4 linked regions of the Caenorhabditis elegans genome follow. The protein of the gene in region 4 purifies or fractionates together with the protein of the main gene of each other region. This does not show direct contact. Each region holds a gene or a part of one and is shown on either strand. Other genes may lie near its edges. The genes, in order: agxt-1, Y26E6A.3, dnpp-1 and app-1.

Evidence for each region.
Region 1: the proteins of app-1 (region 4) and agxt-1 fractionate together in Caenorhabditis elegans (co-fractionation; one large-scale study listed by BioGRID). This does not show direct contact.
Region 2: the proteins of app-1 (region 4) and Y26E6A.3 fractionate together in Caenorhabditis elegans (co-fractionation; one large-scale study listed by BioGRID). This does not show direct contact.
Region 3: the proteins of app-1 (region 4) and dnpp-1 fractionate together in Caenorhabditis elegans (co-fractionation; one large-scale study listed by BioGRID). This does not show direct contact.

Annotation. Positions count from the first base shown.
Region 1 is NC_003280.10:8,841,800-8,850,290, reverse strand, and holds agxt-1 (Alanine--glyoxylate aminotransferase), read right to left. Parts: upstream 4,694-8,491; 5' UTR 4,652-4,693; intron 4,062-4,651; 5' UTR 3,969-4,061; coding exon 3,912-3,968; intron 3,231-3,911; coding exon 3,072-3,230; intron 3,006-3,071; coding exon 2,927-3,005; intron 2,880-2,926; coding exon 2,771-2,879; intron 2,728-2,770; coding exon 2,529-2,727; intron 2,345-2,528; coding exon 2,217-2,344; intron 2,167-2,216; coding exon 2,071-2,166; intron 2,026-2,070; coding exon 1,767-2,025; intron 1,709-1,766; coding exon 1,584-1,708; intron 1,534-1,583; coding exon 1,527-1,533; 3' UTR 1,389-1,526; downstream 1-1,388. Other genes in the region: oac-46 (Acyltransferase 3 domain-containing protein), read left to right, coding at 1-116, 239-483, 804-1,070; F46C5.6 (Serine/threonine-protein phosphatase 4 regulatory subunit 4), read left to right, coding at 5,805-5,852, 6,043-6,188, 6,272-6,478, 6,525-6,586, 6,663-6,728, 6,908-6,981, 7,023-7,129, 7,254-7,361 and 4 more.
Region 2 is NC_003284.9:13,906,704-13,913,109, forward strand, and holds Y26E6A.3 (Methyltransferase-like 26), read right to left. Parts: upstream 3,248-6,406; 5' UTR 3,184-3,247; coding exon 3,103-3,183; intron 3,026-3,102; coding exon 2,891-3,025; intron 2,610-2,890; coding exon 2,523-2,609; intron 2,475-2,522; coding exon 2,406-2,474; intron 2,234-2,405; coding exon 2,072-2,233; intron 1,951-2,071; coding exon 1,870-1,950; 3' UTR 1,668-1,869; downstream 1-1,667. Other genes in the region: Y26E6A.2 (F-box domain-containing protein), read right to left, coding at 4,522-4,845, 5,211-5,669, 5,808-6,266.
Region 3 is NC_003281.10:5,860,454-5,867,226, forward strand, and holds dnpp-1 (Aspartyl aminopeptidase), read right to left. Parts: upstream 3,351-6,773; 5' UTR 3,256-3,350; coding exon 3,145-3,255; intron 3,094-3,144; coding exon 3,000-3,093; intron 2,953-2,999; coding exon 2,535-2,952; intron 2,486-2,534; coding exon 1,679-2,485; intron 1,632-1,678; coding exon 1,538-1,631; 3' UTR 1,389-1,537; downstream 1-1,388. Other genes in the region: dpf-4 (Peptidase S9 prolyl oligopeptidase catalytic domain-containing protein), read left to right, coding at 1-93, 231-847, 902-1,358; rabn-5 (FYVE-type domain-containing protein), read left to right, coding at 4,104-4,154, 4,204-4,305, 4,360-4,566, 4,616-5,349, 5,703-5,853; eng-1 (mannosyl-glycoprotein endo-beta-N-acetylglucosaminidase), read right to left, coding at 6,087-6,303, 6,350-6,553, 6,743-6,773. UniProt on the Caenorhabditis elegans protein: Aminopeptidase with specificity towards an acidic amino acid at the N-terminus. Plays a role in membrane trafficking and is specifically involved in the recycling and degradation of endocytic cargo.
Region 4 is NC_003279.8:4,963,135-4,970,735, forward strand, and holds app-1 (Xaa-Pro aminopeptidase app-1), read right to left. Parts: upstream 3,956-7,601; 5' UTR 3,937-3,955; coding exon 3,817-3,936; intron 3,772-3,816; coding exon 3,391-3,771; intron 3,344-3,390; coding exon 2,909-3,343; intron 2,862-2,908; coding exon 2,808-2,861; intron 2,760-2,807; coding exon 2,620-2,759; intron 2,570-2,619; coding exon 2,202-2,569; intron 2,156-2,201; coding exon 1,983-2,155; intron 1,940-1,982; coding exon 1,760-1,939; 3' UTR 1,533-1,759; downstream 1-1,532. Other genes in the region: Protein pid-4, read left to right, coding at 1-633, 680-829, 877-1,104; W03G9.5 (Protein kinase domain-containing protein), read right to left, coding at 4,873-5,106, 5,151-5,249, 5,682-5,859, 5,911-6,168, 6,317-6,870, 6,913-6,999, 7,055-7,111; W03G9.9 (uncharacterized protein), read left to right, coding at 7,289-7,390. UniProt on the Caenorhabditis elegans protein: Catalyzes the removal of a penultimate prolyl residue from the N-termini of peptides, such as Arg-Pro-Pro. Has activity towards the flp-9 neuropeptide KPSFVRF-amide.

The sequences.
Region 1 (8,491 bases), on a different chromosome or scaffold from region 4:
CTACATCAAACCACAATATCGCATTGGACCATATCTTATTGGAATTCTTCTTGGTTATCAATTGGCTAGATATCAACGAATTCCTGTGAAACCACAGCAAAGCAACAAATATATCAGTGAGTTTGAATTTATTTTTAGCTGTTAAAACAAATGTTCATCTTTCATGAACCAATATATTTTTTTAAATTAAAAACTAATTATTTTATTTTAAAAAAATTCTAAGCCTTCTTAATTCCAGTTTCAATGTGGTCAGTGGCACTTGTGGGAATCCTTTTCGGTTTGTACGGTCTCTACCCAGCTCTTCAAGGATGGGATTCAATTGCCTGGAGAGCATATCACTTGCTCTATGGAGCACTCCATCGTGACATTTTCTCAATTGGTATTGCATTCCTTATCTACATCTGTCATACTGGAATTGGTGGACCTGTCAATGTCTTCCTCTCCTCCAATTTCTTCTTACCATTGGCCAACTTGAGTTTCTCGGTTAGTTTTCAAATTTCTAATGTTAAAATAGGATTACTCTCATTCTTAAACTTCAAATTAAATCTTTCATAGAACCTTACTTCCTTGTATCACTACAATGTTTACGTTTAATTATTTTATTTTGATAGAATAGGAAGTGTTTTAATGTTTTGTTTTGATGAAGAGAAATACTTGGTTATTAGAAAAACCAAATTATTTTACAGTTTATTCAACCTGAAATCTTTCAAATTACAAGTACCACTTTGACAAATGAATGAAAATATGTGCTTCGAAAATTGAAAAGGCAAAATATTGGCTTTATAAAAATAAAATATTTTCAGGCCTACTTGTTCCACATGATTCCAGTGGTACTCACTTACATGCTCGTTCCCTTCCCAATATATTTCAATACTCAAATTCCACTCTTCATTCATTGTTTTGTTCAACTTCTCATTACATATTTCTTTGCCATAATATGCACAATGGTCAGTGAACTTCCAGCTCTGAATATCGAAAGGTTATTGCTTGCCTCTCCACCAAAAACTACACTCAAACCGAGTCCACCAACAGATTCGGAAATTCAATTAAAGCCTTCCGATAAGGCTTAATTTCTAATTGTTTTAATTTTTGACTCAAAAATTCATTTTCATCAGGCACGGGACATTTGAGGTAAATAGTGGGTGATCATTTCCTTGTCAACCCGAATTCATTACGAGTAGTCTCATTCATTTCTTAAATTGTTTCATTTCATTCCGCCATTCACTTTTTCATTTGTTAGCTCCTCTTTCATTTGCTTTACATTTCTTTTAGATTAGTTGAAATTTTTCTGTTCTTCTTTCTTGATGGTCTTTCAGTAATTGATTATTCCCCCGGTCATCGACTGTTTTTCCTTCGCTTCTTCTATTTTTATCATGTAAATAGAAATTCTTGTTTTTTGTTCATTCAAATTAAAACCCATAAAAACATTAAATAAATTTAAAATGTTCATACAAAACGCATACGAAATTACAATAAATCATAAATTAGCATGAAATCACAAATTGATGGATCTACGACTGATGGATCTACTTGCTGAAAATATAAATAATTTGATAAGGAAACGGATCAATTAAATTTTTGACCTTTTCTCTCCAATTGATTTCGACAAAAGTTCCACAACATTTTCGATTTTTGTCGAATTCGAGTTAATTCCAAACGTTCCGATTCTCCAGATTTTACCAACAGTTGCACCAAGTCCTCCAGCAATCTAAAATTAAAACAAGTTACGGTTTTCAAACTTCAAATTGGTGGATTTTCGAATTTACCTCCGTTCCATTTGTCATCATTTTTCCAGCAACATCTTTCCAGTCAACACCCTCCGGTACTTTCACAGTAGTCAAACATGGCAATCTCAATTTCTCATCCACTACAAATGGTTCCAATCCATGCTTTTTCAGAGTAGCATACAACACTTGAGCATTATCTTTATGTCTTTGGATTGATTCATCAATTCCTTCTTTTGCAATTGCAGAAAGTGCTGCACGAAGAGCATATACAGTGGAGATTGGAGCAGTGTGGTGATATCTGAAATTTTTCAATAAATTTCATCATTTCATAGTTTTTTCCAACCTTTTCAATTCTCCATCACAACCCCAATAGTTGCCCAATTCGATGGCATCAAAGTAGAACGAGGCGACGCGTTGTTTTCGGTTCCGGATTTTTTCCCTAAAAATGAAGAGGAATGCAACTATATGTGTTTTGTTTCTTATTCTTACATGGCTCGATCGGAGAATGAGATAGGCGCAAGTCCTGGTGGAGCGTTGAGAACTTTCTGGGTTGCCGAATAGACACAATCAACTTTCAGATCATCTGCTGCAAATGGAGTTCCACCGAGGGACGCCACCTGAAAATGAAAACTTTGATCATTAAACATCTATTTTCAATTTTGAGACTCGTTCGGCAAATTTCAATTTTACTACATTAAAAAACACCTTAAACTTTTCAGAAACAAAACCGTTAATTTTTGAAACATTGTAAGATTTATAAATAAATGGTGAGGATCGAGAAAGTTAAAAAAAACCACAAACCGTATCAACAAGGAACAGAGCACCATGCTCTCTGCAAGCATCTCCAATTGTTTCCAATGGTTGAGCAACTCCCGTTGAACTATCTCCCTGACAGACAAAAACCAAATTTGGTTTGTAATCAGCAATTGCCTTTCTGATATCCTCAACTGGAACTGCTTGCCCCTGCGGAGCAGTAATCTTCTTAACTTCGATTCCCATTCTATCAATTTTTAATTTGTAACAAGAATATTGATTTTAAAAACCTATTAGCCAAATCAGCAGCTCTTTGTCCCCAAAGTCCAATTTCTACTACAAGGAATTTGTCCCCGGGCTCGAGAAGATTAACCATCGCGCATTCCATTCCAGAATGACCTGAATATTAGATTTGATATTGAGAAAGTTGATATATGCACACTAACCAGTTCCACTGACAGCAAACGTATACTTATTGTCGGTTTTGAAGACATACTGAAGACCCAGACGAACATCTGCCATAATCTGAAATTAAAGCTTTATGAATTAGTTTTCGATTTACTATTTTTCCAACAAAACATAAAAAGATACCTGAACAAATTCTGGATGCAAGTGTCCTAACAAATTGCGAGATTGGGTCTCAGCAATCGAATCAGCCATGTTCGATGGTCCTGGTCCAAAAAGTTGCCGCGGTGGGACAACCATATCTTGCAGAAGAGCTTTTGGTGGAGCACGAGACGACATTGATGACTGGAAAAAAAGTAAAATACATAAATACTCGAAGAACATGGTAATCGATTTGGAAGTGATAATTTGAGAATATAATAACTAAAAGGTCGTTCAACACGTGGTTCTCAAAACAAATGTTATTAAAAACAAAACATTAACGAAAAACTGATCTTAAATTTAACTAAAATGTTTTCCATTTCGCAGTACTGACATGGAACTAATATGAAATGCGCTCTATTTGCATGTAGAATGGAGTAGAGACACAGAGAAACCAATTGGTCAAGAGGAGATTGAACGGTGTGTCCAAATGGTCAAGAATTGGTTTGATGTCTAGGGGAGAAGGGTTGAAGGGTCGAATGCCAAACGGCATACTAGATGGTTAGAAATTTTCCATAAATCAAAGTGGGTTTTTTTTTCACCAAATACTGTAAAAATCAAGTACATGATTTTAGAGTTTGAACTCGAAAGACATAATTTTCATGCTGTTAGATAATTTTTTTTAAGGAAAAAACCTTCAAAAACTTTTTTTAATGAACAATGGCATATAAATATAAAATAATTGCAGTAACTAAAAAGATTGTATCAATGAACAGTTTCATCAATGATAACACATATGTTGATGTATGATGACAATAAACTCTCAGAGGCGGTTCCAATTTGTGTACTCAATAAACCTATTATTTTTGAACCAATTGAACTCACCTTAATTCCAAATCCAAAAATCGAGACTGAAGGTCTTAGAAATCGCGTTGAAATCATATCTTCGAAATTAAATCAATTGAGGAAGAATATTGAGGTAGAGAAGAAAACTTGAGGAGGTTGTCCTGCAGGCGGCAAATATCTCTGTGACTCCTCAAAGTACATTGTTCTTTCATTTTCACTGACTGACTGACTGACTGAGGGGCTATTTTATCACAATGTATAAATGACCAGTCGATGGTATAAATGATAACGAGAAGACACCCAGAGATCGGTCAATTTTTAGAGAAGAGTTCAAAGAAACACTTGAAAGTGCACTGGGGAAAACCTCGTGGTTATTTTATAGTTTATGGAAATTGAGTGGAAAACAACACTTTTTTGCAATTTGGTTTGAGCATAATTTTTATGGATAGTTCATTGGCACATTTCCGTTAATCTAGAAAATAACGTTTCAAGATTTAGGAGATCATCCGAAAAAAACTAGTGGAATTTTTTAAATACACAGTTTAAAAATCAGTTAAAATTTTAATAAAGTGCGAACAATAAGCTATAATGGGAACTAAAGTGGTCTAATCAATGACGTGGAATTAGTCAGATGGCTACAAAAAAACATTAAAACATTTTTCAAAATTGTCTACCAAATAATGAAACTAGAAAATTTAAGGACTACCAACTTATCTTACTCAAAACAATACAAATCGAGAAAGATTACCAACTTCAAGAGAGTTTAATTTGAACTTTACCTCGAACAACGAGCAGATCCAGAGAAGTTTAGACTTCGGAATAAATTTTTTTTCTAGTTTCATTTCCATGAAAATAGCATTTCACGTCTACAGAAATTGATACGATGAATAAATTTAGAAATTAATATTTAAAAGTTCATTGGTTTGTGTTAACTTTGGAAAAATAATAAAGCTTTGAGATATTAACTTCTGAACATTTTCAAATTTAGCTTCTACATCTTATTCCTTGAATTTCGCCTAGCTTCGTCTGAAATCTCCTCACATTTTTCTTTACCCAAATCTATAAATGAGTTTTTCAGCCAATTCACTTGTATGCCTGGAGATACCTTGAGAATTCGGAAAGTACTGATTCGTGAAGAACACTTTCCAGATCACACGAGTTTATTGCACATTTTGAAATGTTTTGAACAATTGCACATTTTATTGATAAAAATAAGAAAACTGCTCAGGTTTTTCGAAATCGAGTTGGATTCAATTACAGGTCAACTCAAATTTGTGATGTCTCGTGATCTTTGAAGCTCTCCGGTTTCAGTGTCTGTTTTTGCTGTGAACACTATCTTTCTCTATCTTTTTTTTCTTCAGCTTCATCCTTTGAGCTTTTTCGTCTTCATTTCTTCATCTCCTCCCTCGCTTTTAACTTCTCACACTGGATCACAAGCGTGCCCTTCGATCCCGATCCTCTTGGCCGAATATCTTTACACACCGACTTGATGTCTGCGTCTCACCAATCATTTTGAATGTTTCGAGAGGATAGAGATAGTTGCTCATCGCCCGGGAGTCACAGCTGCCTCTTCCTGCTTCTCCTCCACCTCCTCTACATTCCAAAGCAAAAAGAGTTTGTATTATTGAAGAATCATGTTGTTTCTGCATCATTCTAGATCACTCGTCATATCTAACCACACTTTCAAACTTTCTTGCCCAACGCAAACCATTTTGAAAATGTGTTTCATTTGTTTGCCGAACAAAAATGCATCTAAAGAGCTGCCCCTACCTCTTGATGGATCATGCGAAAAAAAGGCGGGACGTTCAAACTGTTGACTCTTTTCTTTTTTCGTTTATCTTATCTCTCTCTCGTGTTGCTCTTTGTCTCATCTTATTGTAAATTGATTTTCGAAAAATTTCAGATATTCTAATCACATTTTCCAACATTTCAATGGTCGCTGCCACAGAAATGGATGGAGAATCTATAGTTGATATTAAAGTAAGGCATAATTGTAATGATAAAAAACGAGATTTAGAAATTTAAGTTTTTGATTGTGAAAATGAGTAATGAGTAATGAAATTAGGCATTGGAAAATATACTAAATTTTTGCAGTAGTTGCCTACTTAAAACGGCTTTCACACCAAAATTTCTTCAGAAAAGATTTTATAGAATTCGTTTTGTTTTCCAGCATGATCAAATTGAAGATGACGAGACAGAAGAAAAAGAACCTCCTGTAATGAAGTTGGATTTCGAAAAACTATTCAAAATGGCAGAAGATCCAGATCTTGAGGAATTGCTAAGATCACCATTGGATCAGGCTCTAATCAATTTAGAGTAAGATTTATTAATTAAAAAATCAAAATTGATTTTTCGACATTTTGTAAAAAAGGAAATCGTTCATACCATAAAATTTTCAGAGACGGAACTGAAATTCAAAAGCTCACATCAATTCGCACATTTCCTGACATTCTGGACACCTCCGACGGAGAAAAGTGCCTTCTAAAAATGCTACCAGCAATTCAAAAATGTTTGAAAATTGAAAAATCAAACCTAGACCTTCACTGTGAAGCTGCAGTTGTCTATAAGTCAATTATTCAAAATGAGGACCTCGTGAAAAAATTTCAGTGAGTATTAAAACATTCCACTACTTTAAAATAACAAGCTTTCTAGGGGAATCGTTGATCTTCTACTCGAGAATATTCTTCAAAATATTCAAAATCAAAAAGAGCATCGTAAGTATTTTCCAAGTATCGTATGTACATGTTTTTCCACCTTTCCCCTTCTATCCTCTATCCTAACCATTTCCAGACACTCAGGAAAAGGAAAAAATTGTTATAAAAGCTGGCAGTAGCATCAACAATCAAATGCATCATTGTATGTATTCTCAACTAACAATTTATTTGTTTTTAATAATACCTTTACCTTTTTACCTAATACTCTTTTGAATTACCATTTTAGACATTGACAAAACTATAAAAATTATAACATTAACAACTAAAAAAAACTTGCGCACTAAATAAATTATGTGTAAATTTTAAATTCATATTTTTCAGTGAGTGCCGCTGCTTGGTTAGAAACAATTGTTGAAGTTGCAGACAAATTGTCACTAAGCTCAATCAAATTATATGTAAGCATAAATATTAGATATCCCCTTCATTTAATTTTCAGGTGGTTCCTGTAATTCAAACACAAGCAGAACCTGTTCAGAGGGTACAAAGACGAATTATTGCCACTAAGATTATTCACAAGTTGGCATTGTTTTTACCTCCGAACGAGTGAGTTTGTTATTTGAAATTGTTTCATTTCGCTCTCATAATAGTCCTAACCTACCGGCTTTCTAAAATATATTTAACTTACAAAAAATGTAACTAGGCAATGAACGAATTAAAACATTTTAAGAATAAGAAAAGAACTGTGCCCAATTGTTACCACCTTGTGCAAAGATGCCAATTCAAATGTGAGAGTAGCAGTTGCTCAACGACTTTTTGTCATTGCAAATGCTCTTAAGTAAGTTGTTGGGGTTTTTTGTTTTAGTGTAAAATCATTTAACTTTCAGAAACTCGCACGATGTTGTGTCCTGTCTTTTGCCTTCATATGTACATTTATTAAATGATGAAGAAATGAATGTGAGAGAAGCTGCAATGAATAGTTTGACTGATGCATTCTCCTTGTTCACAAGAGGTTTTGTCAGAAAATAATCATTTCAATTATAATTCAAATTCAAATTCAGATGCACGAAAGCACACACTCTTCTCTGTTATCAAAAAGTTAACCGAAGAGGCGCTTGAGAAAAAGAATGAAGGTCTCGCAGTGATATCGAACAACTTTGGAAAATGGTCATGGGAGCTCAATGAGCTTCTCGATCAACTTGACAAATCATGGGTTCTGAATACATACTGCAAAATGGTGCAAATATCAGACGAACTATGTGAAGGCCCACAAAAGAATATTCGTAACGTATTGAAGAAGACGTGTTGTTTCAATTATCCATGTATGCTGACTATGTTCAAAAAACACGTGGATCGATTACTTCCATTTTTAGAGATGTTCTGTACAGATCATGGTGAGTTATTTGTCCGTGTGGTCGGAGTGTCATTACCCAATTAATATAATGAATATGCTGTCTTTTTATTTTTTGCAATAAAATTAAAAATAACAATTTTCAGATGAAGAAGTTCGAGTGAGCATTGCTTCTTCCTACCATGAGGTTTTAACCATGTTCCCTGATAAACCAGATCTAATACCACCGTTCATCGAACTTCTTCATGGAGGATCTTCCGATGTCATTGCTAAAATATCTCACAATCTATCAAAAATTCTGCCGATTTTGTATGAAAATGTGAAAGAAAATCCAGGGGTAAAACTTTCCATCTGAAAATTTATATTTTCTTTGTTTTTCAGAGAACAACTGTTCAACAAGTGGACCGACTTCTGTTAGGATGCAATCAAATTTTAAGAACTTCAAGCTCGTGGAGGAGTCATGAAGCGTTTTTGAAAAGTTTGAAGACACTTACGAATTGTATTGATGAAGAAGTCATTATTGATACGTTTGTTCCACTTTTGAGAAAAGAAGTTCTCAATGTCGTAAGTTTTTGAATTTTAATATGAACATTATGATATTGATGATAGATAAAATT
Region 2 (6,406 bases), on a different chromosome or scaffold from region 4:
ACGGTAAGAAAATTCAATCTTTGAAAAATACCTAAATTTGATCTCAATCAAAAATACAAATATTCAAAGATTTCATAGAGGCACATTAAACGTGATTGGGTCACAAATGAGACGTGTATCAAAATTGCTACCACTTTTCTACTAAAAAAAAACCAAACAAAAAGGGAAAGCTCACCTTTCACGATGAGATATTTTATCAGTAAGAATCTTTCATATACAGTTGATGGGGTATAGACACGTTTTTTTTTTAAATTTTACACTTTCCAAAGTTTATGGTTGGTTGAACTTTTCACTTTGACATCTAATAAGTGTAAAACAGAACGCCTGGGGTTTTGCACAAAATTCGTATTTATGTACCGATGTTTATTCATGTATGATTCATGTATGATGTATGATTCTGAATCCGATGAGACATAGCTCAATTTTGTCGAAGACGGTAAAAAACCCGTAGGCTACAACATTTAAAAGAAGGATTTAGTTTTTGAGCTGCCGAAACTTCACAAATTAGCTGGAACATCAATTCAGAAATACACAGAAAAACTACTTACCATCTCCAATATCGAAGGTGCTCATTAATGTAGCTTCAATATTCGACACAAATCACGCTGGGAAACCAAGAATTCCAATTTTCCGGCTGTTGAACTTTTTGTTGATCTCCTAGCAGATGTTTTAACTGGAAAATTGCCTATAAACATTTGTTGTATACTTGTTACAAATCACACAAACTGAAAAAAAAACCAGAAGTTTCCACGCACTTGTAATATGAATATTGAAATCAATTGTTTTTTAATGCATCAAGAAACTTTTTTAGCAGCTTGCACACAAATAAATGAAATTCAAATTTAAAAGAAAAGCTGATCGTAAATAAAATGAAGTAAATAAATATAAAAATACTTTTTATTGTTGAGCGCTATTTTTTCTTAGATTGATTTTTTGATCTTACTCGAGCGACATTGAAATGTTCATACTTTTAAGCTAAAAGGATTATTACCCGTTTGTGCGATTTCTGGTCAGATCAGATAAACCAGACAAAGTTTTACTTGTCACAAAATGATAGATGATAAAACTTTAAAAAAAAATAATGAAACGCTTAAAAATAAAAAAATAAAAATCACACGCGCAAACTATTTGGTGATAGCAAATCGAAACATACAAACAAGCAAAATTAGTAATTGTGCTTAGATGCTGCTGGGTTCAGCTGCAATTTTAAATTCAGCAGAACGAACAAAATCTATTTCTGTAATGCCAATCAAATATTCTTAAAGCATTAAAATATCCGTACAATCACCCATATAGTCAATCTTTTCTTAATTCCAGAGTTTTTTTAAATTTTTTTTTTTAAGTTTTTTTTTTAATTTGACATCCGCGCACTTCTTTTTGAAATGTCTAGTTCCACTGTTATAGAATGACTTCACATTAACACCAAGAATCGGCTCTGCTCACTAGACCAGAAATAACTGCGTCAAAGAAACATAACATGAAGGTGGCAAAACACCTGCTTCAATACTTGAAACGTTTCTTGAGGAAGTTCGAAAATGGTTTCTTGAAAAGAGTAATTATTTTCCAATAGGTAAAATATTTGAATAAAATTTTTAAATAGCAATTTGGAATCCATTTCAAAAAGACAACTGTTAATATCGACTTCAACCTGAAAATGGAGAAATTAATTACACTTGAAAATGCTTTAAAATCATCATATATCATAGAATATTGAAATCAAACATGCTTTATATTATATTAAAGAGCGTAATATTGCAAATATTATTTGCAGTTAAAAGGAGTTATCAAGGCCATGCATCGCTGAAAATCTAGCGTATTACAAGTATTACAAGTACAGGAGAACAGATTGAAAATAAAAAGTACAAGCGTTTAACGGGAAAAGATCAAAATGAAATTATTCTTCGGAACTGTAATCTTTTCGGCAAGACGGAGGTTCGAACTGTTTGCAAGCTGAAAATTCAATATGTTATAAACTATGAATTTATATTTAAATTCTCGAAAAAAATTCTGACTAAGCGTTCAGTTTCATGGTAATAAAACCGAGATTAACTTTAAAAAAAAATCTCCTTACCCTCTCCAGATATTTGATATCCTTGAGGCCATGTTCCGGATCTTCAGCTTTCAGATTTGTATGAAATGCGATGTTTGATTGTGGTGAAATGTGTCCATCCTCTGCATATGGTCCATAAGTCATGAGGATTCCGTTCGTCTCGTGAAGAAGCAAGTCGGCAGACTGTAAAAAAGGTTAAATTAGTTCAGAAGTGTTTGAATTTGATGTGATAAAATTTGTTTTTATTTCAAAATTATTTGCAACTTGAAGAAAAAATTCAGTCCCATTGAAATTTATCCTACTATTTTTGAAATTCGTATTTCACCTTTGACATTTATCAAAAAAAAAAACTTACTTGAAAAAGGCCTTTAACTGCAGCCGTGGAGCAAATGTGAATCATGTTGATATTGAGAACAATGTCGACCTGAAAAAAAACGAAGTTATTTTCCAATATAGTCTGGAAACAATTTACCATATGAGGTCCGAAATCCGCAGGAAGAGCCCATTGATTGAATGGTTTTGCAACGTCGATGAAGAGGGGGATGCGGACGTTTGGAAACTGAAAAATATTACTTTATGGTTACAAAAACATAAAGTTGAGTTTTCATAAAAAGTTGTAAAAAAAGAGAAATCAAAAATTAGTTTAGAATTATTGTTCACCCCAACAGTCTGGAGTGTGGTTTTTTGTTAAAACATTCTGTCAATTGCTGGCAATTAAAATTTTTTAAAGGTTTTTCAACAGGAGTGTGGAAAAATGCAGTCATTTTAATTCAAGTATTATCTCTTTTTTGCTATTGTGAAAAGTGGAAATTTGGGCAGGGCAACTAACTGCTGACTAACCTGACTTTGATCCAAATAAGAAACGATGGAATGGAGGTATCGACCATTAACTTCAGTCGGTTGAAAAGTGACATCCGGCAGAGCCCGTGCAAAATGTTCCATATGCTGTCCAGTTCCAGAAGCTAGCTCGAACACCTGAAAAAAAAAAATATATATATATCGTTAATGTTTTCATTTTAAAAAAATGTGAAACACATTTTTTAAAAACTTACTTTCTTTCCAGATGTTGCGAATCTTCTCAACACCTCCAAAATCACATCCTTGTTCGATTCGGCAGCTGGCGCTCTCAACATCACCAATCGCTGCAACTACGTTCAATTGTTATTTGATTCAAAATGTGAAACAGTCAGTGGTAAAAGAGAAAGGTACGCGCGCGCACTTTTTATAGGGTTTATAACAGTTTGAGATAGATGCTAACCAGAATGAAGAGACTGGTAAGAGAGAAAACAAAAAAAAACAACAGAAGATTGGAATACCAGAAATCGATAGTTGTTGTTTGTGTGGGAAAAAAGGAGGAATGGCAAGTGTTATGCATGGGAAGAAGAGCGAACGAACGGCAAAAAGTTAAGTACAGTGTAAATGCGCAAAAGGCAGATTAAAAGAGGAATAGCAAAAAAAAACGGTTAAAAGAGAGAAAAAAGAAACTAAAAAGAGATTTTGTTTACAAAACTGTGAAAAAAATGAGAGTGCAAAAGTTACACGTGTCCTGCCAGCCAAAGCGAGCTGCAAGCCTTGCCACGTATAAGGCCAGAGAAAGTAGGGCATCAATGTTTTGTTTTGTTTTTCGTGAAATTTTTGTTTTTCTTAATAATTTTCAACTTTTAGAAGTATTTTAAAAGGTTTCAAATATTAAATGGAAACTAATTCAGCTGAAAATTTTAGTAATAAGACAAAAATTAAAAGAGCGCGTTTTCTGCGAGTTTTTTTAGATCTTGCTTTTTTATATACTTTAATTTGAACCTAAATATTTTTATCAATTTCCTAGAAAAATCAAATCTCGACATTATATAGTAAAACAAAACTCAAAACGAATATATAAAATTTCAAAAGAAAAAATCAAATTCATCTGAAATCAGCACTCGCAGAACGCTGAAATTAATTTGTTCTAATTATAAACTTATTAGGCATATTTCTATTTTTACTTCTTGTTTTTTAATCGATTTAGGCACATGTTAAGCCGGTTGGCATACTATAGGTGGTACATATTTGGTTGTTTGAGGCCATTTTTGTTATACCACAGTATTAACCCATAAATGTTACTTTGCGGTAAATGTATCACGCTTTAGATTTTTTTACTACTGAAAATGCATGACGAAAACCAATCTACAAAAAGTGTACCAAAGTTTATTGTTTCATCAACATGAATGACTGGATAATAGATTTGCTTGGGAATTGGAGATTTGACAAAACAAAACAATAACTTAGAAGTGGAATGAGCTGTGTGAAAAAAAAACCGGGTTGGAGTCTAATAGTTTTTGAGATGAACAAGAATTAGTGACAACAAATATTACAAAAAACTGTTATAAAAAACTATAGAAAAATTGTTATATAGAAAATTTTAGGGAATGTAAGAAATAAATAATTTTCTCATAAAAGTAGATTAGTTGGTTTCATTTTCGCTAAGAATCATGTTAATTAGTCTCGTGAAAAACGTATTCGGTTATTTCTCCATGTGGCATTTGTGATGAGTTGAGCTCACTGATAAACTCCAAATACCCCTTTCGGAAGGAAGTCTTCGGCCGATGACGTCTACCAAAGGGTGTTTGGAAGATGGTGAATTGTTTCAGAATTACCCATCTACCAACTTCTCGGTGTCCATTATCCCAATCACGAAGAGCTTTTCGGAATGTGTCGATATTGTTGAGAGCACAATTGATGTTGACAAAATGCTTCGCAGAAAAGAGCCGTTCTCCGTGATCCCTGTTGAGAGTGTCGCGGATGGATATGGTTTTGATCTGAAAATTTGTATTGCTTCTACATAACACTTGTTTATTTTAAATTTATTTTTAAATTAAAATGTAGAGTATTTTCAGTAGGGAAATTATTTAAATCAGCTCATGAAGTACTAAATTGCCTTGATGTAATTGTAAAAAATTATTTTTAAAAACTTGAAAGTTTGCAATTATGGTCAAAAAAATTGGAAGTCGGCCAAAAAAAATCTATACTTTTAAAATTGAATTGCGTCTCAGTTATTGCATTTAAAACTTTTAGGGGATATTGGAATTTTTATTAACTTATTGCATGATCCTACTTTTTTGGAACGCTCTTTAAACCATAACACGAAAAATTCAAATTTTCTCAAATTCTAAGTACAACTCACATCTGGGAACGGAATGAAGTCGTCAGTTAGTGCGTTCACTTCAATCTCCACAACTTCTTTGTCAAACATTTCCACCATCATTTTCAAATTCTCCGTGTACTCGAAACCCTTGACAATGATTCTTTTAAATGTTCTGGATCCAACGAAGTTGTGCACAGCTTCACAGTATTCCGGTTCGAAATCATCAGTGGTGACAATTTTTAAAATAGTTGTGTTACGCAGCAGCTGGGTTTTCTTCTTCTCGTTGACTTCGGATTGATTCAAGCATTTTTCAGAGTCTGGATCGCTTTCATTTTCTTGTTGATTTTTCTCCAATATCCATCGGACATTCATCTCGCCACTGGAGAAGTCAAGAATCAAAATGACATCTGGGAGCACCATTTTCAGACTATTCTGTCGGTAAATGTTATTGGCAGCACTGCACGTGATTGCTAGACTTTGAGCGTCTTTGTAAGCCGACTGAAAATTTTTTTTAATCTTAGGAATCATCCGGTTGGAAGTGCATCTGCTCAAAAAGTGTTTAACGTTGTTTTTTTGAAAAGGAGAGATTCAGATTTTTTTATTTTTAGAAGTATTTTCCCAGAATTGAAAACTTACTCGTTGCATGATCTGCTCTATCATCTCCGGAGGAAGTTTTAAGAGATCGAACAATTTCACATCATCTTGCTCGATGTGCTTGGTTTCCACATTTTTACTTTTCGGCCGGAAGAAGTTGTCACGAGAGATCAGATGAGAGAACACATTCATTTTTGTAAGCCTAAGATGCTCTGCCATCGTAAAGTCGCAGAGATGAATAGCATCAGTGAGAAATGTGAATCCACCAACTCTCAACGCACTGCTGCATTTTTCCGTTAGAGTTTCACCTTGAAGTTGCTCAATTAGGCACCTATAACGTGTGGGCCCGTTGAATATTGAACGGATTTCTTCAACGGTCCATGTATTGAGAAGGATCTCCATGTCCTCCTTCATACGGTTCATTTCATTGTTGACACGATCTTTTGCATCGGGGAAGAATGGAACGGCCCGAAACAATTCCAGGATGTCTAGGTCGGCCATGTTCTTTTTCTGAAAAATTGAATGTTAGAACATATTGAACGCTCGTTAATAGTAAAGAAAAGTTTATTGGAAGTACATATATTTGCATGTAAGTGGGATTTCTACGTGTTTCATTCTAGTTCACTCTCAGTAATTTTTAA
Region 3 (6,773 bases), on a different chromosome or scaffold from region 4:
GTCGAGAAGAACCTGAATCCAATTCAACGAGAGATCAGCTACCCGCTTTGGCAGCTTGGTTTCAGAAATTATGTTCTGAATAAAAAATATTTGGTGAGAATTTTAGATTGGAAATTCAAAACATTCTTCAAATATTTTAAACCTAAGTTTACAATTTTCAATATAATTAGTTGAACTAAACACAAAAATTCGAATTTTTAAATTGACCTAATGAAATTTAAATATTTCAGGTAATGAACGCAGACGGAATTTTGTATGTCCGATCGGGAGATGTTACTGTAGAGATTCCAACTCCAGGCTATACTGTATTTGGATATCTTTCACTCGACCAGAATGGTTCTGATCTTTTCGCAATTGCTTCTGGACCAAAACGAGCTTCAAGCGTTATTTCCATCGATCTCGCGAACAAAAATTTCCCATTAAAAGTTCATCGCGAATCCCGAGATTCTTCGGAAATCGACGCTCTCGAGATTTCGGAACCAGAAGAATTTGTGTTCAAATCGGATGGAGTTGATGTTTCTGGTTATTTTTATCCACCGAAAAACTGTTCATATTCTGCTCCAGCTGGAACACTTCCTCCAGTTTTACTTCTCGGACATGGTGGCCCGACGGCTCCAGCTCAGAATAATTTGGATCTTAAAAAACAGTTCTTCACGTCGAGAGGTATTGCTGTTTTTGATGTAAATTATCGAGGATCAACTGGATTTGGAACTGAATTCCGGAGAATGCTTTATAAAAATTGTGGAGTAGCTGATAGAGATGATATGTTGAATGGAGCAAAAGCACTTGTTGAGCAAGGAAAAGTGGATGCCGAAAAAGTTCTGATCACTGGAAGTTCATCTGGAGGGTAGGAATTTAATATTATAGTCATTGTTAAAGTTTTATAAATATTTTTATTCAGGTATCTGATTCTGAGCTGTCTTATCTCACCGAAAAATATCATAAAAGCAGCAGTTTCTGTGTATGGAGTTGCTGATCTATTGGCTTTAGATGAAGATACTCATAAACTGGAAAGATGTTACAATGAGATGCTTATCGGAAAATATCCTGAGCAAGCGAGCATTTACGAAGAAAGAAGTCCCATTTATCATATTGATAAAATTAGAACTCCTATTGCATTCTTGCATGGAAGGGAGGATACGGTAGTACCGATGAGCCAATCTATCACAATGTATGAGAAGATCCGTGCTAGTGGAGTTACAACTGCTCTGATGCTTTTCGATGGAGAAGGACATGGATTTAGGAATGGACAAGTGATCAAGGAAAGCACCGAAGCCACTTTCTACTTTTTGATGAAGGCCGTTGGAATTGAACCATCAATTAGTTCGAAGATCGAAATTGTTAATCCGAAGCATTAGATTTGTTTTTGTTTAAATTGTTATCTATAAAATTTCAGCTTTTAAAAAATGCATTGCTTTATTTATTTGAAAACCAAATAAATTATAGAAATTAATATTCACAGAGAAACTGAAGATTGGATATCACGACGCGATTAAATAGTAGAAATTATGATTGGGAAGGATCAACATTGATTTGCCTATTGCATGTTGGAGAGGACAGTTGACAGACGTTCGTAGAATGTAGAGTAGAGAGTGGTGGCCTGGTAGATGCTCGAAGTGTCGGCAAACTCGCTGAAATCAAGAAAATAAATGATGTGATTTAAAAGTTAAATCCCTACCGAATCGAGTGCATAGCCAACTGTGGGCATCCTACATCGACAGTCTGCAAGCCAAGTTTTGTGGCAAGAATCGGTCCAACCGTCGATCCACAAGGAGAATCATTGCGAACGACGACAACTTGAAGAGGAACTTGAGCTTCGAATGCAACTTGCTTGAGAGCAGCGTGTGTGGTTGAAGTTGTTGCATATCGTTGATTGACGTTTACTTTGACGACGACTCCACCATGGAATGCTGGACGATGGTTCTCTTCGTGTTTTGCCGAATAGTTTGGATGCGTGGCATGAGCTTGATCTGCAGAGATGAGCATGCTCTTTCCGATTGCTTCTTCGAAAGCGGTTGTTGAGCCTCCAGCAGAAAGACGGCGGAGAACGAACTCCGTGAAAGAAGAAGATGCTCCCATCGCGGAATCCGATCCTACTTCCTCGTTATCGAAGCATGCGGCAATACGAATTTGTGGGTCATTCTTGAATGACTCTCCAGTTAGAGACTCGAGAAGTCCACTTATCGCAGTGTATGTTCCAACTTGGTTATCAAGACGAGCTCCAGAAATGAATTCATCCTCCATTCCAACAATCGCAGCCTTGTTTGTATCGTAAAGGTAGAGATCCAAATCAACGATGTCTTCTGGCTGACATCCAGCTTCCTTCGCGATTAATCCGAGGAATTGGGGATGATGATTGTTGGTAATGTTTCGTGGATCGGCAAAACCAGTAGACTCGGGTTTCTGTGGTGCATTGATTCCAGCAGCAGCGAAGGTTTCCAGAATCGGGCGGAGCTCAGTTTCCGTGTTTGGTTTGAATGTTGTTCTGAGAAATAAATTGCAAAATTAGGACGATAGTGACAAATTTCAAATACCTGTCGGTCTCCAAATGAATCGCCAAATTTGGAATGAAAAGAACTGGCTTTTTCACGTCGATCAGCTTGTGTTGAAGTTTCTCTCCATTCTTGACAATAACCAATCCAGCCACCGACAAGTCACGGTCAAACCAGGTTCTCCAGATTCCACCTCCGTAAGTTGATACACCAACTTGAAGGAATTTATCAGACTTTTGGTGGGAAATTGGTTTGACACGGAGGCATGGACTGTCAGTGTGTCCCACAACAATCGAGAATCCACTCCCTGGCTTGTAAGATCCTCCAACAGCGAATGCAAGAATTGCAGAGCGGTTCTTGGTGACAAAGTATTTGCTGGTTGGCTGAATGTCCCAGTGACCCGATTCTGGAAGCTCTGTGAAACCGGCTTGTAGAAGGCGATCCTTCACTTCTTGGGTGGCTGCAATTGATATACTTTTGAATATAAAAATAAATAATAAATATTACCATGAAATGGAGTAACTGCTTTATTCAGATAGTTGATGAACTCTTGTGCAGCTTTGCGGATCTCCGGAGCACTTGGTTTCAGAGCAGCGGCCATCTAAATTAAATAAACTTATTTATGAAAAGACAAAGAAAGAATAGTGAAAACCTTTTTGGGTTGATAGCTGGTATTGGGCTCAATTTCATGTTTTGGATAGCAGCCGCACACTACTTTCAATTTTTCGGAAATACGATTTTTTCGAAACGACTTCTTTGTCATGATTCAAACTCAAAATGAATTGAGCCCAATATTTTACTACCATCGGAGTGAAAATGAAAAAAGATAAGACAAAATGTTGCATAAAATTTGAATCTGGAATGATTTTCTATAAGCGATAAACGGTTAGTTTCTACTGGGCGAAAGTTCGAGAGAAGAATATGTGGTGCTGATTATCAAAAATGCGTTATCAGTGATAGTTATCAAGGTTTCTAATAGAAAGAATCAAAAATGAAGGAAAAGATAATGGAGAAGACATGAGAAAAGCGAAAAGATCAGGAATTATTTGAGGAAAGTTAGTGAAAAAAAAATTGACAGGAAAAAAACGTCGGAAAATTTTAGAAATCGAAAAGAAGAAAAGAACAATTTTTAACGTAGAGTAGTACTGTATTCAAGGCGCAACGCTTAAATCATTTTTTGGGTCCTGGAAAGAAAACTACAATAGCTGGAAATGTTCTGAACTTTGAATATAATTATAAATTTTATATATAAAATTTTGTTCATCTTGATTTTTCAGAGCGATATATTGTTTATAAATAGAATGATTTTTACTACAAATTTTTAAATTTTTATGAATAAAAAATAAATTAAACATATAATAACATTTTCATAACTCAACAGAATGAAATATGTTTATTTCACTCCAGAAAACATTTACTTTTCTCTTGGAAGTCGTTTAATGAAATTAATACTAAAACTGCTCGATTATTATGTTTAATGCTCTTTAAATGTGTCACCAAATGGCCTAGGTTTTCAACCTAGTCCTTGCCAACATTGTGATGAGACCTTTTTTATTTAATTAATCAAATGACTCATATATTTTTCGAATAAATCAAGAATTTTCTAGAAAAATGACAGAACCGTCGGCTAGCGAAGAAGTGTCTGCCGGAGTGAATGCAGAGGTAAGAGTGTTGCATTTTAATCGATAATTCAAAGACCCTTAAATTTCAGGAGCCGCCAATACCGTCCAAAAAGATTTCGCAAGTCTCACCGAATCCAACGCTTCAATGCGAAATGTGCCAGAATTATGAAGTGAATTTGACTGCATTACAGGTGAGAATCATGGGAACACGGCAAATATGCAAATGATTTTTGTTTGTTTTGCAGGAAAACGAACGAAAGTTAAAGGAAGAAGTGAAGGCGGCAATGGAGTTGAACGAAAGATATCAATTGGATTTGAGCAATGAACGAGACTATCGAAAAGAATTGGAAAAGAAAATGAACGAATTATCGACTAATTGTTTGAATCAGGTTAACGAGGCGGCAAAGGCAAATGCCAAGTCGGAGCAGCGGCTGGACGAGCTCAGTGCGAAGGTATTTTAAATAAATAAAAAGAATAACTTTTAAAAAAGCTTAATTTCAGCACGACAAATCGATAGAAGTATTCACTGATCAATTGAATTTGGCTCGTGACAAACTGCAACAAGCCGACGATGACTTTGTTACATTAGGAAAAAAGTACAAAAAGCTTCTCGGGTCCACACGAAAATCAGCACAAGAACTTCGGTCCGAGAAAATCGATATGCCAGCTGATCTTGATCAATTACAATTTATTTGTCTCAAGAATAGGGAAGAATTGATAGAAACTCGAGCTGCAAAAGAGCACACCGAGCAGCAGCTGCAGGATGAGATCACCGTCCTGCGAGCTCAGATTCTAGAAGAAAGAGCGCACAGAGAAGATCAGGAAGTGACATTTACTGCAGAGATCAGCAGATTGCAGTCGGAATTAGGAAAGATCAACACTCGAATGGTTGTTGCATCGGAAACAATTGCAGATCAAGATTCGAATATCAGACAAATTAGAGATCTTCAAACAACTGTCGGTGAACTTGAGACGCAGGTTCAGCAGGTTCAAAATGAGAGAGCCGCTGTTGAACAGACGGCACAGAACTACAAGCAACGGTGCACAAGTCTTCAACAAGAACTCGACACATCTGAAGTTGTGCAGAGAGATTTTGTGAAATTATCTCAAAGCCTCCAAATTCAATTGGAGAAGATTCGACAGTCGGAACAAGAAGTACGATGGCAATGGGATGATGATGTAGATCAATGCTCAAATTGTGATACATCGTTTGCTAGAGTTAAAGTTAAACCTCAGTAAGTTTTTGAAAATGGAAGTTTGAATTTCTGATAAAAAATTACAAGAAAATTATTTTCTTCATTTTCAAAAATAAATTTTACACTTTTCCAATTAAAATATGTCAAACAGAAGATTTTAAAAAGAAAAAAAATATATAGTGATTATGAATCAAGCGTTCGGTACCCTTTCTTAAAACGACCTAAAATATTTTTAAAAAAAGGCTTCGAAAAATAAAAAATCACGCATAGTTTTCCAGAAATAGCAGATTTTTATAAGGAAAAATTTTTAAAAAAGTGCGAAAAATAAGAGATAGCACTATTTTACTTTTTCATGGAATATTTCAGTCACTTTTATTTTTCAAATCTTTTAGCTGTCTTCATTGTGGTCGGATATTCTGCATGAACTGCCTGAAAGACACCGTTCCAAGTGGACCAAATCATCGACCAGCCAATGTGTGCAAAGTATGTCACACACTGCTCAATCGGGATACAAAACCATTCTTTGCAACGCAGGATAAGTAATAATTCATCTGGAATGCTTATTCTGTCGCTGATTATCCACAACTCGCCCTTCCAATTTCACTTTCGCCACCTTTTCCCGATTTTATATGTGCATCATCCGTGTGCTAGAATGTCTAGTCTTTTAATTCTTGTACAATGCTTAATCTATTCTATATACGTACATATATACCAGAAATTGATCTAAAATTGTGCATTAAAATTTGTTTTATTGACTTTTATGAAATTAGAATTATTTAATTAGAATCAATGGAAAAGTTTTCGATCACAGTTTCGTCGTTGCTTGATGTCAAGATGCTGATGGATTCCAAATTTCCTGGCTTGTCAATATGCCACGTGGAATCTCCGGTTTTGTCCATAATTTCAGATCTATTCAGAAGCAGGTCAATTGAATTGGAAGTAGTGCAAGTTATGGTCAGGGTACTGTAGTTGACAGAATCGAAAGTGAATAGTCTGGAAAAAATTATAATGAGTAAATTTTTGTATGTTCATAACTTACAGAAATTTTCGATTTCTGCCAAAAAGAGTGAGTCCTGTAGAGTCAATTACTTGGTGGCAGAAGGAGCTTAAAATTTGAGGCTGAAGCTGCACTGTGCTCAGGCGGTAGTGCCAATTTTGATCCATTCCAGTACAGAAGTTGGTGCCAAAGTTTATAGAAGTTAGAGGACGAGTTCGGATGTGTGGAAGAAGTTTGGACCAGAAGCTGGAATTAAATTAAAATTTCAATAAAACTTAAATTGTGGAATTTTTCTGAAAAAAATCCTAATGTAGAATTTTCTAGTTGGAAATAAATTAAATTTCAAAAATTATGTTTTTTATAAATTTATATTTTTATCGGGGTACTGTAGTCTTTTTTTTCTGATTTTTCAATTTTATTTTCAAAAAACCTTACTGAATTCCTTTGCAAATTTGATTTTCCTCAG
Region 4 (7,601 bases):
GAATTTTCGGTTGGAAACAATAATTTCCTGAGCGCAACAATCTCCAATCTCGACGAGGATTTCAAAACACCATCGAACTGTGAGCATGTAGCCTCCATCGTGCCCAAAGAGATTTCAAATGCGCTGACTGCATTGATACCTCATGTGAATGTTTTCGATTACGAAAAGGGAGAGATGGAAATCGGAAAAGTCCTCTGCAGCAACAAAAATCTTCATGCGTATGTGATCCCTAAACAACACGATCAGGAGCAAATGCTGAAAGATTTTTCCGCTCGATTCTTGGCTTGGTACAACAAACTATCACATCTTCAAAGAGATACGTTTGGAACCGACAAAGACCCCAAAAGATCAGGAAAACAAGAAGATGGGAAGCCGATGAAGCCATATTTTTGGAGAGTCAATGTTATTTTGTGCCTCCAGGAGTTTCAGGAAGAGGGTACAATGTTCCGAAGAGCTCGTCATGTCTGTGGTATTCGTCCTCACAAAAGTCAACCCGGACTCGATTTGTATATCGAGATTGACACAGGAAGTATGAGAGCTCTGAAGACGAATTATCTGACTGTGAGAAAATTGCCGCAGGAGTTCGCGAATGTCCCAACTCCAATCCTTGAAGTTCGATTTGAAGGTGCCAAGGTGAGCAATTTTTCTCATACACATCCAGTGTATCTTGTTTTTTCAGACCGAAGAAGATGTTGCCCGGAGAATCGCGCACATCAGGAAAACGGGTCGTGCATACATCAAATCATTTGATACAGGAAAACGGAAGATCTACCAGAACAGCTTTTTTAATGGCCAGCCAAAGGATTGGAGTAACATCGAAACAGCTGTGGTATAAATTTATATTACTCTTTTTCAAAAACGAAATCCTATTTTCAGTTGCTGCCACCAAAAGAAAGCTCAATGTCGAAGCTGTTCTGTGAGGATAGGGATTGCATGGGACTATGCTGCACAGATCAATGGCTTGAAAATGCGGAATCATCCCCGGGCATCTCCACAATTCCAGCGTCATGGATCGCCGATAAGAATAAGAAGCCATTCGTGGACAGATCTCCGCAAAAATTCAAATTTCCCGCGAGCGGCAGCTATATGAAGCCGGCCAACTAGTGCTTGATATTCAAGCTTTAATTATTTTTCATCTGTGTCATCAAACCGTATTCTAGTTTACTTGTTAAGACCCGTTGGTCCGTATTTTTGTTTCTTTTTTTTAAATATTTCAGTTTACGAATCAACAAATAAAAATTATTCATTTTCAAGAATTTGTAAATACAGGAAATCGAGGAGAAGTTAAAAGCGAGAATCTTGGATCTATGAGAATGCAGTTCACAACAGCTTCATCAGTTTCGCAACAGTTTTCAATTCAAATTCGTTATTAACCTTACATCCAATCCTGGCTCACTTGTAAGCACTTTGGCTTGAATCTCTGCACCGATGTCAAAATCCGACAGCAAAATGTCGTCAACCAAACATTCTAGCTTACAGTTGTTAAGACCTGCTAGCCGGCATTGTTATTTATGTTTCAATTTTCCAACTAACAAAAGAAAAAGATTCATTCTCAAGTATTAGTACAGGAAATCTACGGAAAAGCGAGAAAGAACGACAGGAGAAAAAAAGGGGAATACGGATGAATCATTCGGGGAGAATAAGTTTTACACCAGGATCCAGAAATTGTGATAAAAAATAGTTAATTGAGCACAAATTTGCTCAACAAGACGTTGACCGGTTAAAATAATATAAAACATGTTGTAATTGTTCCAGATATTTAGATTGGTTTACAGGCTTCTGCGAGCCATTTCAGCTCATCCGTTTTTCCGCGTTTCTGAAGATGTTCACCAACTTCCTTCAGAACCCGAGCGTGGTATTGATTGAGCCAATTGATTTCCTCTTCAATCAGAAGAGACTTGTCGACGATCGAAGTTTGAATAGGCACCAAAGTGAGAGACTGAAATTAATAAGTTTATAAAGTTCCTGGGATCTGGGTATACCTTGAATGTCAAGAAGTTCTGAGCTTTAGACATGACAACAGCTTCAACTGTTTCGTAACAGTTTTCAATTCGAATTCCGTACTTCTCCTTGGCATAGAATCCTGGCTCAATGGTAAGCACTTGGCTGGCATGAAGCTCTCCACCGGTTGGAACACTACGATGACCGATTCCGACTGAAAATAAATATTCAAACAGTTACATTTACTGTTTTCGTCTTACTCGGTCCTTCGTGTACGTTAAGGTAGTGTCCAACACCGTGTCCAGTACCATGTTCAAAATCGAGACCAAGCTTCCATAAAGCATCACGAGTCAGCGTGTCCAAACGAGAACCATAGATACCATCAGGGAACTTGGCCCGTGCCAAATTAATGTGTCCCTTCAATACAAGAGTATTGTGCAGAATGAACTCTTTCGGTGGGTTCGTGTACCACACAGTTCTCGTCACATCGGTTGTTCCATCTCCATAATGAGCTCCAGAATCGAGGAGGAACACCTGATTGGCTGCAGCCTTACGATTGCCACTTTCTCCGAGAGGCTTGTAATGGGGAAGTGCTGCGTGATCTCCGACAGCTGATATGGTATCAAAACTGAAAATAAATATAAATTAAATGTAGTTTTAAATATTTAACAAACGAACCTCAAAGTAACATATTTGTCTTGAAGACTTCTCAAATGGTCTATCTTATCAGCTAACTCGATTTCAGTGTATCTTTTTCCAGAGAGCAACTCCTTTTCGAGCCAGCAAAGGAACTCAACAAGAGCAGCACTATCACGAAGCTAGAAAGAATTAAATTATATCCTAAACGATGCTGTAGCCATTCTTACATGACTGTTTCTCATTCCTTGCATTTCATGATCGTTTTTGGTGGCCTTGGCGGTCTGAAAAAGATTAAATTTCAAAAATTTCAAGAAATTCATGGAATTACCTGAACCAGGGAAGTGTCAACCATCGAGTTCTCTTCGCCAATAATGCTTCCAATAGCGTAATTAGTTTCTGGTGTGAGATAAACCATGTGAGGCTCTTTGCTCGCTTCTTTTGCCTTGAGCCAATTGGATATCCATGAATAGACTTCTCCGTATGGATGAATCGATACATTCGATTTGTGGAAATGGGCTCGAGATTTCTCATCGAGTTTCTCATTGTCGATAAATACGTGAATCTCGCGCATTGCCACGAAGAGATATGAATATGCAAGAGGATTGTACGGGATATCACTTCCTCTAATGTTCAGAAGCCACATAACATCATCAAGAAGAGTAAATACAGCTGCGTCGCACTTTTTTTGTTTCAGCTTCTCCCGAAGATTCTCGACTTTTTTTGAAGTTGTAAGACCAGTGTCTTCAACATCGAGCACGACTACCTGAAAAGTGGAACATTAAATCCCGCAGTATAGATCTATCAACTTACTGGCTCACCAGCGAGTCTTGGCCGATCAGTCCAGAACTCGTCGACTAGATTTCCAGGAATCGAGACTGGTTGAAGACCTGCTGCCTTCAGACGTTTAAATGTCTTGGAACCAGCGTCGAACGTCGACAGAGTTGGATCAAATCCAATAACGGATCCACGCTCGAGCTCTCTCACAAGCCAATCAACGACAGTAATCGAATCGGGCTGTCCTTGTTTCATCAATTTCCAGCTGTTGGAATCAAGCTGATTCCCGGCTTGAGTGAAATATCGGCCATCAGTCCAAAGGAGAGCTTCTCTATCGGTAACAACAACGTAGGCATTGGAACCACTGAAACCAGACAGGAATTTCACTCGAAAATCGTAATCGGCTAGATATTCGCTCTGAAAATTAACATTTAGAAGATTATTTGAAGCCTAAAAACCAACATGATGAGCGTCAGTGCTTGGGAGAAGATACGCGACCATCGGCTTGCTGGAAGTGAGCGCGAGAACCCGTTCCGAATGGAACAAGGATCTCAATTTTGCGAGTTTTTCCAATGCTGTCATCACTCCAATTCTGCCCGATCTGAAAAAAAAAGAAAATTAAAGCTAAACTTGTAAAGAGAAATTTAAAAACCAAGCGTCTAATCGTCTGCACATTTTTCTCGAATTTTAGAGCTGATAACGAATAAAACCAACGACGAAATTGTCGATCAATCGTTTTAATACGCAATCACAAATGGTTTTATACATACAGAAATCAAAAATCATCTCTGAATTCTATTGAATGAAAACAACAGAGGATGTGGAAATTTTTTGAGAAGAAAACTGAAAAATAACTATTTTTGAAGTCTAAAAATGTTTTAAAATGAAAAATTAACTGCCGAATCGAGAACGAACGCTGTTCCAAAAAATGAGAAGAGTATCTACGGACTCGAGATCTCTAGACTCAAGAAGTGGAAACTTGGAAAACCGCAAAGGAAACGTTTTGAAATATCATTAAAAGACGAAAATTTCAATGAAAATGTTAATTTCACTGTGGATCATTTAAAATATTAACTTTATTCGTGTCCTGATACGAATTATCCACGCTTTTTTTCAGAAATTTTTATGACACGAGGTCTCACAGGCCTCTAATCGGTGGTGACTCGAAAGCTGAGAAGGCGCGCTCTATTGATGGGTCAAAAAAGGAGGAGATTTGAAAATGAGTTTCGCTCGAAATTCAGGTCTAGAATTTTAGAAAATAACCTTTAAAAAATACTCATAATAAATTTGTTGAACAAACTGTGAACAGCAAAACCCAAACTCGCATCGCGGTTTTTTATTTCCTCTCCAAAAATTTACGCGTGCGAAAATTAATGAATAATGAAAATTTCAGTCTGGAAATTCATTCTTTCGTATTCAAAAAAATTAAGAAAAAGAAAAATTGTTTTTTTTCAAAATCGTAATTTTTAGCACGATTACATCTGTCTGTGTGTCTACAAAATTAAAAAATAAAATTTATCAATGAAGCTCAAATGATTTCGGCGGCAAAATCTTCTTTCCAATACTTCTAGTGGATTTCGTGGAAACTGCAGACGACAGTTGTGTGCTCTCGAGTTTTCTTTTTTGAACCGTATTATCCTCCGGAACAATAAAATCTTCTTTGGCTCTTCGTGCCGCCCGTGCATTCTTCAGCAACTTCTCTTTATTCGCTTCTTCCTCTTTCTTCTTCCAGTTCTTTTCAATCTGTTCAATCTGAAAATTGGAAAATTTAATACGTCGAATAACGTATTCTATACCTTATGCGCCGATGGTGTTCTCGCAATATATCTCCTTTTCACTTTCTTACTGGTTTCAGATCGAGCAGATGGTGTCGCCGGCTTGGCTTCTTGTTTTCCCTGAATGTTTCAAATATATCTCTTGTCTACGGCACCTACCTACATGCCTATCTACCTGCCGCATGCCTGCCTAATAACGATTTATTATTAATATTGAGCTCCCCCATGCCTGCCTACGCGTTTGCATTAGAACTACACGCAACACACACTTACCTGATTCTCAGATCCCGTATGCCTATTCTGACCTCATACCTACCTGCCTAGGCGCACCTCAAAACTGCATTTCCTATGCCTGGCTTCATACATGCCTTCATTATTCATTCCCTGGTTCTAACTTAATGCCTGCCTGTCTACTTTCTGCTTGCCTAACTTTGTGCCTTCCTCATGCCTACCCCTCGTGCGCCTGCCTATAGGTCTGATCTCAACCTCATATCTGCATATCTACGTGCCTACCTCATGCCTACCTACAACAACTTTCGCCGTAAATCTCACCAAAAATCCATTTTCATCCTCAACAATCGTATCATCTTGAGCAGTATTCAGTCCCTCTTCCTCTGTCGTTTTACCAGCAGCTATAATTTCTTCCATTGTTATATTTCTCTCATTTTGCGGAACATTCAGCAACTTTGACAGATCCACTTCAGTCATGTCTTTCTCGATAACAACTGGCCTGAACATATTCAAATTATCTTAATAATATTCAAAATATTTAAAAACTTACAAAGTTGAAGTTTTCTTCTCAAAATGGCTTTCATATCGTCCACCTTTCTCCCAATCAACTTTCATTTGAGCATTGAAATTTCGTCGAACAAAAATATTCATGAGAAGATCTCGAAGAAGTGCATAATCTGGATTCGTTTGATAACGAAGAACTGACAGGTGTTGAGCAAACATTGCACATTCGGACTCAAGGCCATTGAATAGCTCCGTGACATCTTCTTTCATAACAATCACCTTCTCTTCTTCCATTATTCCCGTCCTGAAAAAAAATGATTAAAGATTTTTTTAACACGAAACGCCACTTTAAAGGCACACACTAGGACTGTATTTTTATCGGTGGGGCTCATATTACTTCAAACTTTTTTCCAGATTTTTACAGAAGCTTCAAAAATGAAAACACCACTCACCATGGCAGTGATCCCTTCACAAATTCGACAATCATATAAAACAAGGACCACAAATCATCATGTCTTCCTTGTTCTTTTCTTTCTTGAGCAGCCACTGAACAATATCTAAGAGTACCTCGAAATGGAACAATTCTCCTTGGTTTCCGTATTCTCAATCCTCCATTCTCCCCATCTTTCACCAAATATTGACGAGAAATTCCGAAATCTAGAACATGAACAAGTCGTTGTTTCGGTGTTCCAAGTGCTCCTATCGCAAAGTTCGCCGGCTTCACGTCTCGGTGCACAAATCCAATATCATGGATTTCTTTAATCGAATCCAATGCTTGAATTCCCATGACTAAAGTGGAAAAAGTCGAGAATTTATTGGTAGGAAGAGTCGCTCGAATTGCATCAAGTGATGGTCCTAAAAGTGTCATAACAATGAATTGATAGTTGTCGCTTTGTCCTTTATCAATAAGTTCCACACAGTGGATAGAATTCTTTTCATTGAGTTTTGAAATTATTTTGTGTTCCATTGGCAGTGTTGGATCCTCATCAAATACGGTAGTTTCAGCCTGAAAGTAGTAATTTAAAAGAATGTCAAAATCTATTATTACCTTGCACGCAAATCTTCTCCCTGGGCACTTCACCATCGCAACTTCGTAAATGACTCCACATCCACCTTCTCCAAGTTTTCTAAATGCCTGGAATATTTGTTTTTAACTTATTGAATACAACTATGTTTTTATCCCAACTCACCAAATATTTTCGGTTTATAACAGATGCAACTTTGATTTTTGGTCTATTCGTCGTCATTTTTTGAATCTTCGGCAAATCCGAGCATAAATTTTGATAGAAATGACTAACAATTGTGGTGTCTTGGAGAGAAAACCAACGAAAGAAAAAAACGTCAAATTGGTTAATGGTTCAGTTCACTGGGAATTTCACGGAGTATTCGAAAGGCATACTATATAAAATTCGAACTACTAGTGAATGTATTCTTCAGCTTTAAGTTCTGGAGATCTACGGGATTGTAGAAGATATGCAAGAGCTGTAATTTCAGCATCATTCATTGCATCGTTAAGGCATGTACAGGTAAGAAAACTTTAAAAAATTGAATTTTTTGTGCCTCGGTGCTTTTTCAAACAATTTTCTATCAAATTTAGCTCAACCGATTTTTGAACCAAATCTTGTATTGAGATAGAAATTTAAATTTGGTCAATATTTCGCTATTTCGCATTAACTTTTACGTAATTCTGGAAATGTTCGCTTTTTATTTCTATTTCTGGAACTAATTTTGGAAAGA